Linked DNA regions of Elephas maximus indicus. The protein of the gene in region 3 interacts with the protein of the main gene of each other region in a biochemical or structural test. Links are inferred from orthologs where the notes say so. Each region holds a gene or a part of one and is shown on either strand. Other genes may lie near its edges. The genes, in order: ZNF106, RELA and CREBBP.

Evidence for each region.
Region 1: of the proteins of CREBBP (region 3) and ZNF106, one has a biochemical effect on the other in vitro, tested with the Homo sapiens proteins (2 studies listed by BioGRID, with this or other methods). The link is inferred for Elephas maximus indicus from reciprocal best matches to the Homo sapiens genes CREBBP and ZNF106.
Region 2: the proteins of CREBBP (region 3) and RELA form a complex in vitro, tested with the Homo sapiens proteins (9 studies listed by BioGRID and IntAct). The link is inferred for Elephas maximus indicus from reciprocal best matches to the Homo sapiens genes CREBBP and RELA.

What each region holds. Positions count from the first base shown.
Region 1 is NC_064828.1:13,497,133-13,500,876, forward strand, and holds the start of ZNF106 (zinc finger protein 106), read left to right. Parts: upstream 1-1,076; 5' UTR 1,077-1,251; intron 1,252-3,744. UniProt on the Homo sapiens protein: RNA-binding protein. Specifically binds to 5'-GGGGCC-3' sequence repeats in RNA. Essential for maintenance of peripheral motor neuron and skeletal muscle function.
Region 2 is NC_064825.1:128,815,688-128,819,431, forward strand, and holds the start of RELA (transcription factor p65), read right to left. Parts: upstream 2,497-3,744; 5' UTR 2,376-2,496; coding exon 2,369-2,375; intron 1,760-2,368; coding exon 1,733-1,759; intron 1,637-1,732; coding exon 1,485-1,636; intron 1,318-1,484; coding exon 1,169-1,317; intron 29-1,168; coding exon 1-28. UniProt on the Homo sapiens protein: NF-kappa-B is a pleiotropic transcription factor present in almost all cell types and is the endpoint of a series of signal transduction events that are initiated by a vast array of stimuli related to many biological processes such as inflammation, immunity, differentiation, cell growth, tumorigenesis and apoptosis.
Region 3 is NC_064830.1:61,817,809-61,821,552, reverse strand, and holds the start of CREBBP (CREB-binding protein), read left to right. Parts: upstream 1-1,335; 5' UTR 1,336-1,520; coding exon 1,521-1,605; intron 1,606-3,744. Other genes in the region: uncharacterized protein LOC126087487, read right to left, coding at 177-755. UniProt on the Homo sapiens protein: Acetylates histones, giving a specific tag for transcriptional activation. Mediates acetylation of histone H3 at 'Lys-18' and 'Lys-27' (H3K18ac and H3K27ac, respectively).

The DNA.
Region 1 (3,744 bases), on a different chromosome or scaffold from region 3:
GAAACTGCATGGAGTGGCCTCGGATGTTGGTTAACATCCTACAATGCACAGGACAGCCCCTCACAACAAAAAATTGACCGGTCCAAAATGTCAGTGCCAAGTTTGAGAAGTTTTGACCCAGGGTTACCTTGATGTTCACCAGTTAGGACCTTGGTCTTCTACAGGTTTATCTTTAGAGTATGGCCCTGAGCTTATTGGGTAATGTGGCCCTTCCATTGCATGCCTTTAAAGGAGAGTAGAATGAGCAGCTACCCCAGTTCTTGACTGTTTCAAGGACTTGTGATGTCACAAATACAGAATTGGAAGTTTCCTAAACTTCTAGAAGCAATCTGGCTTTACACATAGGTAGAGGCATTGAAGGTCTTGTTAAACGGATATTATAAGTTCAACAATATAGGTAGAGTAACACTTCACGTCATTATCAACTTTAATATAACTTGGTTTATCTGACTAGTTTAAGTCACTAAAATAGGATCCTGAGGGTTAAGGTATGAGGTAAGGTCAATAATAAAGTTACTTTGTATATGAATAATATAATCATTAGTATGAGTATTAGAATGTGTGTTCTGTGACAGGCACTTGACCTCTCATTTAATCCTAGCAATACTCTGAGAGATGGGATATCATTATCATAATATTAACTCAGAGAAAACTGAGGTTCCAAGAAAACATGGAATTTGCCTAAAGTCACAATAGCTGGGTTAAGATTTGAAGTCAGGTCTTATCTGTTCCAAAGCCCACGCACCTTCATTAAGCTTCAAAGAGTTTTGGAAGGAAGTAGTGAGTGGTTTAGCGGCGACAGCTGCCACGCCTAAATGAGTTGAGGATTTAAGAAAAGAATAAGAGCGAGAGGAGGCCCGGAAAGAACAAGAAGAAAAAAGCGACAGGCGGGGGGCGGTGGGCTGGTCACAGCAACGTCCAGTGGCAGTGGACCGACTGTTCCGCAAATCGGGAGAGTCTTCGGTCTTCTCCCACTCTTTCCGAGTAAAGCCGCTTTCTTCCTCCGTGTCCGTTGTTCACGCTCGTGTGTTCAAATAAAGCTACATTATTGAGAAAGGCAAACCGCAAAGGAAAAAAAAAAGAGCGCCACGGCGGGTGTGCGCCTGCGCGGTGGCGGCGGCTGTGCCCGGCGGGGAGCGGGTCCGGAGCGGGCCGCCGGACCCAAAACTGGGGAAGGGGTCCGGGTGGGTCGGAGAGCTCCCTTGCCGGGGCCTCGGCGGCGCGATGGAGTAAGAGGGATCGTCTGTGAGTGTGAGTATCGGGGAGCCCGGCTGCGCTGAGGCGTATCGGAGCCCGAGGGTCCTGGTGGTCCACCCTTCGGGGGGTCGTGGGGCTGCACGAGGGGCCGGGGGTCTGCTCCTGCCGGCCGCGGAGCGGGGCAGCCCTGTGGTCCCCCTTCCCAGCCCACGCGGGCTTTTCGTAGGCGGTGCTTCTGGCTTCGGGGTACAGATTCTCGCGGGGGCGTTTCGGCTCAGCTTCCAGCCCCAGCAGGAAGGGTGGCTCCAAAGCTTTGCCGTTTAGGGGAGGTCGCTGAACTCCTTCGGCTCCTGGTCGGGCTGGAACCCCATACACCCTGGTGCTTTAAGGCCTGCGGGTGTCAGGCCAGGGACACCTTTCGACTTCTCATGACTGACAGTCTCGTTCCTTTTCCTCCTTCCGTCTTCTTTGTGGAATGCGTCTTAATAATAGCTACTAATTCTGGAGCGCTTACTATTTGTCCATGTAATATTTAGACTGAATCTCGGTGCATATTTATGGTGAGGAAATGCTTCATACCCCCTCCCCTTCAATCTGTTCAGTGTAATCATCTTTGAGAGTAAGATTAAGCTATCCTATGGGGGAGTTTGAGATTTCCATGGCTCTTAGCAACTTGAGACTGCATGTTAAGGAAATTTCTTTAAATGAGTACTTTGTTCACCATAGTGGTTTATACCGAATTTATTCAAACCACAAGTAACTGTTTAGGATTTACAAAGAGCCTAGTACTGTTCTAAACTCAACAGGAAATCTTAAAATTCGTTTCAGGCCTGCTCTCAAGTTTGCCGGTGAATGAAAACAGTGGAAGGCAGTATTCAGATTCAGCTAGGATATATATAGCACCTGTTCCTTGTGTTCCAGGCACTCTCAGGACTGTCACAAAAAATTTTGTAATGGAAGGTGGTTTTCTGCAGCACATTTCAGATGAGGTCACTGAGAGTATGGTGAAGCTCACCTAGCTCTAGAGTTAGTGGTAAAATTCAGGCAGTGTCATGCCCAAGAATAACTGGTGATGTAGTGGTTAAGAGCTACACCTGCTAACCAGAAGGTCGTCAGTTCGAACCCACCAGCCCCTCCTTGGAAACCCTATGGGCGGTTCTACTCTGTCCTATAAGGTCACTATGAGTCGGAATAGACTTGACAACGATGGGTTTTTTTGGTATGATACCAAAGCTCGTTGTTTTCTTGTTAACGCCAAGTTAAATAAGTTAGGTGTTCTAAGCCCTTGTGTTGGGACGCAAACTGCATTGCTGTTACAGTTTTTAGTTAACTATTGAGACTAGAAAATGGTTATGTTGGGTTGGCTCTCACTCATAGCGACACCATGTACAACAGAACAAAATGTTGCCTAGTTCTGCACCATCTTCAGATTGTTGGTATGCTCAAGTCCGTTGTTGCGGCCACTGTATATTTTGAGTGCCTTCTAACCTAGAGTACTCATCTTCCAGCACTATATCAGATAAAATTGTTGAAAGTAGCCAGGCCTTTCTTCCTAGTCTGGCTTAATCTGGAGATGGTAGGAGTCTTGAGTTAGATTAAAGGTACTTGCTATATGGTTTTTGAAGGGAACTTCAAAACGGCCTGGAAGAGGTAGAGGGTAAGAAACTAGTCTGGTCCAGCTAGTTCACAAGTAACTGCTTTGATTTGAAGGAAGGTGTTTTAAAAGGAAAAACTGAAATGGTGATTATTGTACATCTAGGGTAGGGCACTGGTAGTCTAAAGGCTGCTGTACGGGAGAGGCAGGGAACAGTGGTAGCTTCTAGCTGACTTGGTCCTGGGACATGGAATAGCTCAGTGGCAAGTATACATATCATGTATTTTGTAATTGGAGTACTTTAGTGGGAAGTTTAAGATTAATTTGTGTACTGGTGCTAAGAGCACGTAGGCAGCTAGGTTACCTATGAATACTCCAATTGCCTTCCAGCATTTCGAATCTCTAATTGAAACTTTACAGTGAATTTTTTTTTCTCCTTTTTTTAAATCTGAAAGAGGATATTAAGAAATGTTCCTTAAATGTCCACCAGTAGGAGGCTGATTAAATAAATCACGCATCCGTTAGAAAGGACGCAGAAGCTCCACGTATGCTAATTGAGACCTCCAAACCAAGCCAAAACCAAACCCGTTGTTGTGGAGGCGATTCCCACTCACAGGGACCCTGTAGGTCAGAGTGAACTGCCCCAGAGAGTTTCCAGGGAGCACCGAGTGCATTTGAACTGCCGACCTTTTGGTTAGCAGCTGAACTCTTAACCACTGTTATCACCGGGGTCCCAATTGTGACTTCCAAGATATATCAGATGAAAAGAACAAGGTGCAAAAGAAGGTGAGCATTTTGCAACCATCTGTGGTTTTTTAAGAACTGTATGTATTTGCATATATATGAATAAAATATCTCTGGGAGAGTACAAAGAATCTGGTCACTGGAGCCGGAGGTGGTGTCCGAGGTAGCGGGGGAGCAGGACGGGAAGGGGATAATTTTTTCCCAATAAG
Region 2 (3,744 bases), on a different chromosome or scaffold from region 3:
TACACACTGGATCCCCAGGTTCTGGAAGCTGAGGCCTCCGGGCGTCAGTATGCTGTCTCCAGCAGAGCCTGGGCCCTCCTGCCTTGCCCAATTTGCCCTTCCTCCCTCCCTCTCCATCCCCTATCATCGCCCTCTGCTTAACCATCCCAGTGGCTCCCCACTGGGCTGCAATGAAACCCCGATTCCTGACCCTGGCTGAGAAGCGCTGGATGACCAGGCCCTTGCCAGCTTCCTCCAGCCCCATGGGCTTTTTTTCTGCTCCTAAGCAGCTGATTTTTTTTAAGACGCTAAACTCATTCCCAGTTCTGAGCCTTTGTATTTGTTCTTTCCGCTTGGAACATCCTTTCCCTGCTTCTCTATTTCTCACCATAGAAGTCGTAGCTGAGCAAGGGCTTCCCGGAGCTTCCAATCCAAAGCAATGACCCCCTGCCCTGGGTTATTCTCCTAATCTACTGTTGTTATGTTGTCGTATGCCGTCGAATTGATTCCGACTCCTAGTGACCATACAGAACAGAGTAGAACTACCTCATGGGGTTTTCTAGGCTGTACATCTTTACGGGGGCAGATTGCCAGGTTTTTCTCCCATGGAGCGGCTGGTAGGTTCAAACCACACACCATTCAGTTGGCAGTTGAGCGCTTAACCATTGCACCACCAGGGCGCCTTCCTATCTACTAGCCGGTTTTATTTTCATCACTGAAATGATTACACTCCACCATTCTCTCATTTACTTTCCCGTATATTTACTTGGCCCAGCACTGTGAGGTAGTCAGCTCCAAGGGAGACTGCTGGCTTGGTTTTCTTTCTTGGCACAAGAGATGGGGCACTGACGGACTCACCGTTCCAACCACAGTGCAGGGGTCCAGAGGTGATTAAGGCCCCATCCCTGCCCCAAGGAGCTCACATCTGCTAGAGAGGGGGGTCCATGAACAGATCGTTCCAAGACTAGGGAAGTCTGTTTGTAAAGCTGGGCCCAGGACAAGGGGTGAGGAACTCTGCCCTGTGGCCAGAAAGGAGTAACACTGTAACAGCTTGTGACTGCCCTGCCTCCTGTCCCGCAGCCCACCCCAGGCCTGTGGGGGGCTCACACGTGGATGCAGCTGCCCTGCCTCCTGTGCCTAGCCCCACCTCCTGTCCTGCCAGCCCACCCTGGGCCTGTGGGGAGCTCACCTGTGGATACAGCGGTCTGGGCAGAGCTCAGCCTCATAGAAGCCATCTCGACAGTCCTTCCCCACGAGCTCATGTGGGTGAGGCCGGTGAGGGGGGTCCTTGGTGACGAGGGAGATGCGAACTGTCCCTGGCCCTGTGTAGCCATTGATCTGTCCAAAGTACAGAGAACACCCTAGAGGCCCAAGAATTCCAAAGCCGACTCCCAGACACAGAGGGCATAGTGACCTGGAGGCAAGCCTGCCAGGGCTCAACAGGCCACTCCCCCACCACTCCATACCCCCAGCCTACCCCTGAGAGCTGGTGACGCAGTGCTGACCTTAATGGTGGGGTGGGTCTTGGTGGTATCGGTGCTCCTCTCGCCTGGGATGCTGCCCGCTGAGCGGCCCTCGCACTTGTAGCGGAAACGCATGCCCCGCTGCTTGGGCTGCTCGATGATCTCCACATAGGGGCCGGTGGCCTGGGCCGGCTCTGCAGGGGACATGGTGAGCCCTTATTAGCGGCTGCCCCACTGCCCCAGCTGTGGGGAGATCCACCCGAGCCACTGACGGAGGACAGTCCACTTACCCGAAGGGAAGATGAGAGGGAACAGATCTGGAAGACGAGGGGGCCAAGAGTCAGCATAAGCCACTGTCCATCCTCTGGACCCCATCCCCGCCAAGAGAATATGGAGCCAAGCGCCCACCAAAGGAAACTAAATCAGGGCCTGCTCCTCAAACCTGCAGTGAAGCTAAGGGGTGGGGTAACGGAGCCAGAAACACCTGTTTCCTACGGGAAAACTGGATCTGGTGTCCTTCCTCCCTTTACTTAGGGAAACTGAGTCAGGACCCTCTCTAGTTTCATAAAGAGAGCTGAGGGAGGTTTCTCCCCATCTCCTATGCTGAGGAGAAATCGACTCAGGCACACGTTCCCCTAACAGGGAAACAAAGTTAGAGTTACCCCCATGGACCACGGAGGGAAACTGAGTCAGGGTCTGACTCGCACCCCCACCCAGGGAGGAAACTGAGTCAAGGTCCCCTTCCACCCCGAGGGGAAACTGAGTCAGACCCCTCGCCGCCTGCCCCGCCCCGCGCCACCATCCGGCTCGGCCGCTCCCTGCGCAGCACCCGCCAGCGCAGGAAGGGGCGGAAGGCGTGCGAGGGCTCCCGCCACGGCCTCGGTGGCCCCGCGCGGCCACCCCCCGGGATCCGAGAGCGCCCTCACCTTCCATGGCCGGGGTCCCGGGGGCGGGGCCGGGGTCGCAGCTGGGCCCGCAGCGCGCGCTACAGCCGAGCCATTCGCCAGAGGCGGAAATGCGCCGCGCGCGCCCGACACCGCGTCACTGCCCGGAACCCGGCTGCGCCTGCGCGCTGCGCCGCCGCCGCCGGGAGCGAGTGCGCGCTGCTGGGGGCCCAGGAGGCCTCGCGCGCCGCTGGGGCCGGGAACGAGCGCGCGCCGCGCACGGACGAGAAGGCCGTCCGCCTAGAGCTGCTCCCGGCGCTGCGCGGCGGCTCCGCTCGCTCCCGAGGTCCGGCCCCGCCTGGAGGCGGGCCCGGCGATTACTCACAATATTTTTAGGGGATTTCGGGGCCCCCTCCCGCCGATCGGAGGAGTTGGTGATGTCACCCAGGTCCCGTCTGGAGCGAAGCCAGGGCCGCTGGGCTGCGGCCGCCCGCCCGCGCCGGGGAAGGCCCGGGCTGGCGGCGCCCGAGAGGGCCGGGCGGCTGCACTCGACCCGGGTTTTGTCATCATCGGTAAAGGTGCCTTTTGATGGTAGTTGCTTCAGAAGCTCTTGTTAATATCCTGTTCACCTCAGTCAGATGCCGTTGGGGGGCAAGAGAGCGCCCTGGCCCCACATCTGACAGTGGAGCTTCGCGGAGCTTGCCGCAAAGAGGGGTGGCCGAGGCTCAGGCCCGCGTCCCTGACGCCGGCGGGCCGGGTCGAGTGAGACCAGGGCTCGGAACCTCTCCGCTAAAGGGCTGGTTTGGGATGCAGCCGGACTGAAGCAGTGGGTGGCAAGGGACGCTCAGGGGTACAGTTGTGATCCTCGTCTGGATGGCAGGGCGCCTGCGTCTTGCAAGGATCCGCTCGAACCCACGGGGACACGTCCCCCGCCCGACCCCCCCCCCCAGGGTCTCCAGCTAACGTCCAGCCACAGCCATCGGTGGGGCGCTTCCATTCATTAACCGCGGCGTCTAGAGACGCCTCGGCGCCGGTATCGCCCCCAAGCCCAAGGCGTATGCGTGCCGGGTGGGGGTAACGGACTGGAGCTGGGCAACCCCTTACCCCAGACTGCCTCTTTCTAGAATGATGGTCCGTGGTGGGGTGCGGAGTCTTCTCCACATGGAGAGAGTTTTGTTTTCTTGGAATTCGTTTTAAATTAAGAAATCATTTGGGAATTGGAAAAGACTGGAAATTCTGATTAGCTTTCCCAGGCTCTGAAAAAACAGGAAGAGAAAAGTGAAAACAAGTTACCATCCCTCCCACTCATTTCAGTTTCTCCTGGGGACCTAGTTAGAAAAGTCTACTCACTTTTTTGGAGGAAGCTGACTTCAAGTCGAAAGAATGGATTATTGAAAATCTTTGCAAAATGATGTACA
Region 3 (3,744 bases):
GGCCCTGAGCCCAGAGGGAATGGGAACTTTTCCGCTAGAGGAGCGGGCAGAGCGCGCTTGGCTCGGGGTGGAGGTGGCGCCCACCACCCTTCTCCGGCAGGTAAGGGTGTCGCACCTGGAAGCCCCGCCATGGCATCGGGCTCGGGACTCCGGAGTCTTACGTGCCCCCACCTTACCTGGAGGGTTTCGAATCCAGGCCTTGCCACTGTCTGCCTCGCCGACCTTGAATGAATTACTTTGCCCTCCCTGCCTGTTTCCCATCTGCACACGCTTGGTGGCGGACCCTGCACACTCGACGTCACAGGCACCCGGAGAGGGGCAGTGGCCCGGCCTCGGGTCCAGGTCGCCCCGGCCCTCCCCTCCGGACGTCGTCGGGGAGGGTGGCGGGCAGGGGCCCAGTGGCACCGCGGGGCCCGGGGGCGGCCCGCCCAGACGAGGCCCCGACGCCCGGGCCTCCGCCCCCGAGTCGCCGCCAAAAGCCAGGTGCCAAGTGGCCCGCAGGCCCGGCCCTGGCCCCACGGCCGGGCTAGGCATTCACAAGCTCCTCTGCCGCGCATTCGGCCCTTTCCGCCTGGGGCACTCGGCTCTTTCCGCCGTGGCGGGCGCAGGTGGAGGGGGCGGGGCGGGGCCGTGCGTGCTGACGCTTGGGAGTGACGCAAGGCGTGCCCCGCCCCCTCCCCCTCCCTGTTCTGGCTCTGGAAAGAGAAGAAAAAAAACTTTCTTTTTTTTTTAATTGAGGAATCAACAGCCGCCATCTTGTCGCGGACCCGATCGGGGCTTCGAGCGCGATCTACTCGGCCCCGCCGGTCCCGGGCCCCACAACCGCCCGCGCACCCCGCTCCGCCGGCCGGTCCGCTCCGTCCGGCCCTCGGCGCCCGCTCCGGCGGCCCCACTCGCCCCTCGGCCCGGCCTCCCGGAGCCCGGCGGCGGCGGCGGCGGCGGCGGCGGCGGCGGTGGCGGCGGCGGCGGCGGCGGCGGCGGCGGCGGCGGCGGCACGGGGGTGGGGGGGCCGCGGCGGCGGCGGCGCGGCTCCGCTCGGCGCATTGTTTTGCCTCCCGGCGGCGGCGGGCCGGGGCGGGCGCGGACCCCCGGCCCCCTCCTCGCCGTCCGCGAGTGAATCCATTAAGTGGGGCGCGGAGGGGGGGGGAGCGCGGCCGAGGAGGCGGCGGCACCATGTTCCCGGGGACCGTCTGAGCCGCCGGGCCGGCGCCGTCGCTGCCAGCCGGGCACGGGGGGCGGCCGGGCCGCCGGAGCACCCCCGCCGCGGCGTGTCGCGCTCAGGAGGCGGGCAGGGGATGAGGGGGCCGCGGGCGGCGGCGGCGGCGGCCGCGGCCGGGGGCGCTCGGTGAGCGCTGCGGGGCGCTGTTGCTGAGGCTGAGATTTGCCGCCGCCTCCCCCACCGGCCTGCGCGCCTCCTCTGGCCTCCTCGCCCGCTCCCGCCCCGCTCCCTCGGCCGCCGGCCGGCGCCCACCGACCCGCGCCCGAGCCCGTGCTGGGGCGCTCCTCGGGAGCAGGTGAAAATGGCCGAGAACTTGCTGGACGGACCGCCCAATCCGAAACGAGCCAAACTCAGCTCGCCTGGATTTTCTGCTAATGACAGCACAGGTGAGGAGGGGGCCGGGCGGACCCAGGGCGGCGGGAGCCTGACGGGGGCTGTCATCCCCACCCAAGGCGAGGGCTTCCGCGACTGAGGATCGCCCCGCGAGCGCCTGTCGGGCAGGGGTCGCCGAGACCCGACTGTGGATCGCGGCCCGAAGTGGGGCCCACGCAGCCCCCGGCCCGTGCCCCCGCCAGGGAGAGTGGAAGTTTGTGGGGGAAGACTGTCACTCGGCCCGAGTCCTGCATGCGCTGGGCTTCCTGGAGTTGGCTAGCCCCCGTCGCGTGGCAGAGGAATGAGACTTCCCGGGAGAAAAAGTAAAGTGGAGTGTGTTCATTCTGTTTGGTCACATCACACGCCTCCGACTGCGGCCATGTGTCCACACACGCGTGGCTGTCTAGAGGAATGACAGGGGAGGGAAGGTACGATTTCTGGCTACGGAAAGAAATCTCGGAGCCAGAGGGTGACTTGGTGTGTTTTCTGAATTGGTAATGTATTCACAACCCTGCAACCCCAACACGCACGCAGCCACCAGCTTGTGAGTTGCAACTTAGAAGTTTCTTGGATTATGTTTCCTGGGGAAATGTTTAGTAGTTATTTTGAAGACTCTTCTTGTCACCTAATCATCCCATTTTTCAAAACCCTGAACTCCCTTAGCAAGATGTTGTAAAGGTTGCTGTGATGTGTTTAATCTCACTTATAAAACTTAGAAAGTGAATAGATTCATTTGAGCCACAGCCTCCATTTGAGCTTGTCTTGGTTTTACAGTGTAGATGTGCAAAAAATTATGTGAAGAAATGTAGAAATTACCTTTCTTCCAGAAATGTTGGCAGAATATGGAGTAAATCGTCTTTTTTTTTTTTTTTTTCTTCTCATCAAACAGCATCCATGAAAACTTTCTTAAGTAATCCTATCAGTTGCCTAAGAAAAGCATGTTAGTTTTTGCTTCACTTAACAGTGCTGGGTTTTCTAGGCTGGTTCGTGGTAACAGTACCAGCCGGTGGCATTTCCTCTTTTAGAGCTCTCGATTCTGCAGTAAAAACTTGGGTGCAGCTGCAAGCGATTTTGGTCTCCAGCGCAATACAGTATTTGCCTTTCTCCAGTGCAGGCTTTGAGTAACAGCATCTGAAAATCAATTTATAATGAATGGGTCCAAATCGAATTGTATCGCGCTGCAGTGCCTTCAGATTTGCACTAGACACAGCTGTTTAACTTGTGGAAGTATTTCTGTGACTGTCCATTTGCGTAGACAAAAATCTAGTTCTGCTGTTGAAACAAATCTTGTGGCTTCAGTTTTAATACAATTCCTGGGATCTAGTTATGAAAAGTGGCATGTAATAATGTAGAAATGAGAGAAGCAATTTTTTAAAAAATCGGTCTTAAGTTGGTTTTCGTGTAGTTAAAATTTTGTTAAACTGGGGGCGGTGGGATACAAGTCTCAATTTATCCGAAGTGAAAAATTTGGTAACAACCATATTTTAAATGCCGTTTTGCTGCAGAACAGATATTATTTGCTTAAAACCTTGCCATATTTAAGTGAAAAGTTTTCAGTCTTAGGAAACGTAGAGATACAGCTCGTACCAGGAAAGTTGAGCTTTCAAGCTTGTCCTCTGAAACCGGGTAACTTTTGAGTGGCTGCACAGCTTTGCAGTTGTTGAATGAGGTTACCATAGGTTTTGTTTTATAAGGGAGCAAGTGATTAACTGGAGACTTAGCAAAAAGGGGTGTTGTTTCCAGCATGGACCCCAAAGGATGGCTTTTTTGAGTAGTTCTGTTAGTGGATGGCCAGATATTTAATTAAGGTGCTGTTAATCCGTGGAAATCGACTTGAAGGCACTGGGTTTGGTGTTTATTTTGGAATCCCAACATAGATTATCAGGAAGGATTCCACTTTTAACATTTTTTCTTCCTTACCATTTGAACAAACAGAGGCTCTTTTTACTTTTTCAAATGTGGAACAAAAGATTCTGTTTCTAATGGCTCCCTTTTAAATAATCCAAAGAATAAAATTAATGCTCCTACTTTAGTTTAGTCCTTGGCCACGTCCATCACGTTTTCACAGAAGGGTCTATTAGTTGGGGGAGAGGGGCAGGAGGAAGGAGTCATTGTCAAGCACATTAATTGAGGTACAACCTTGTCTCCTAGTA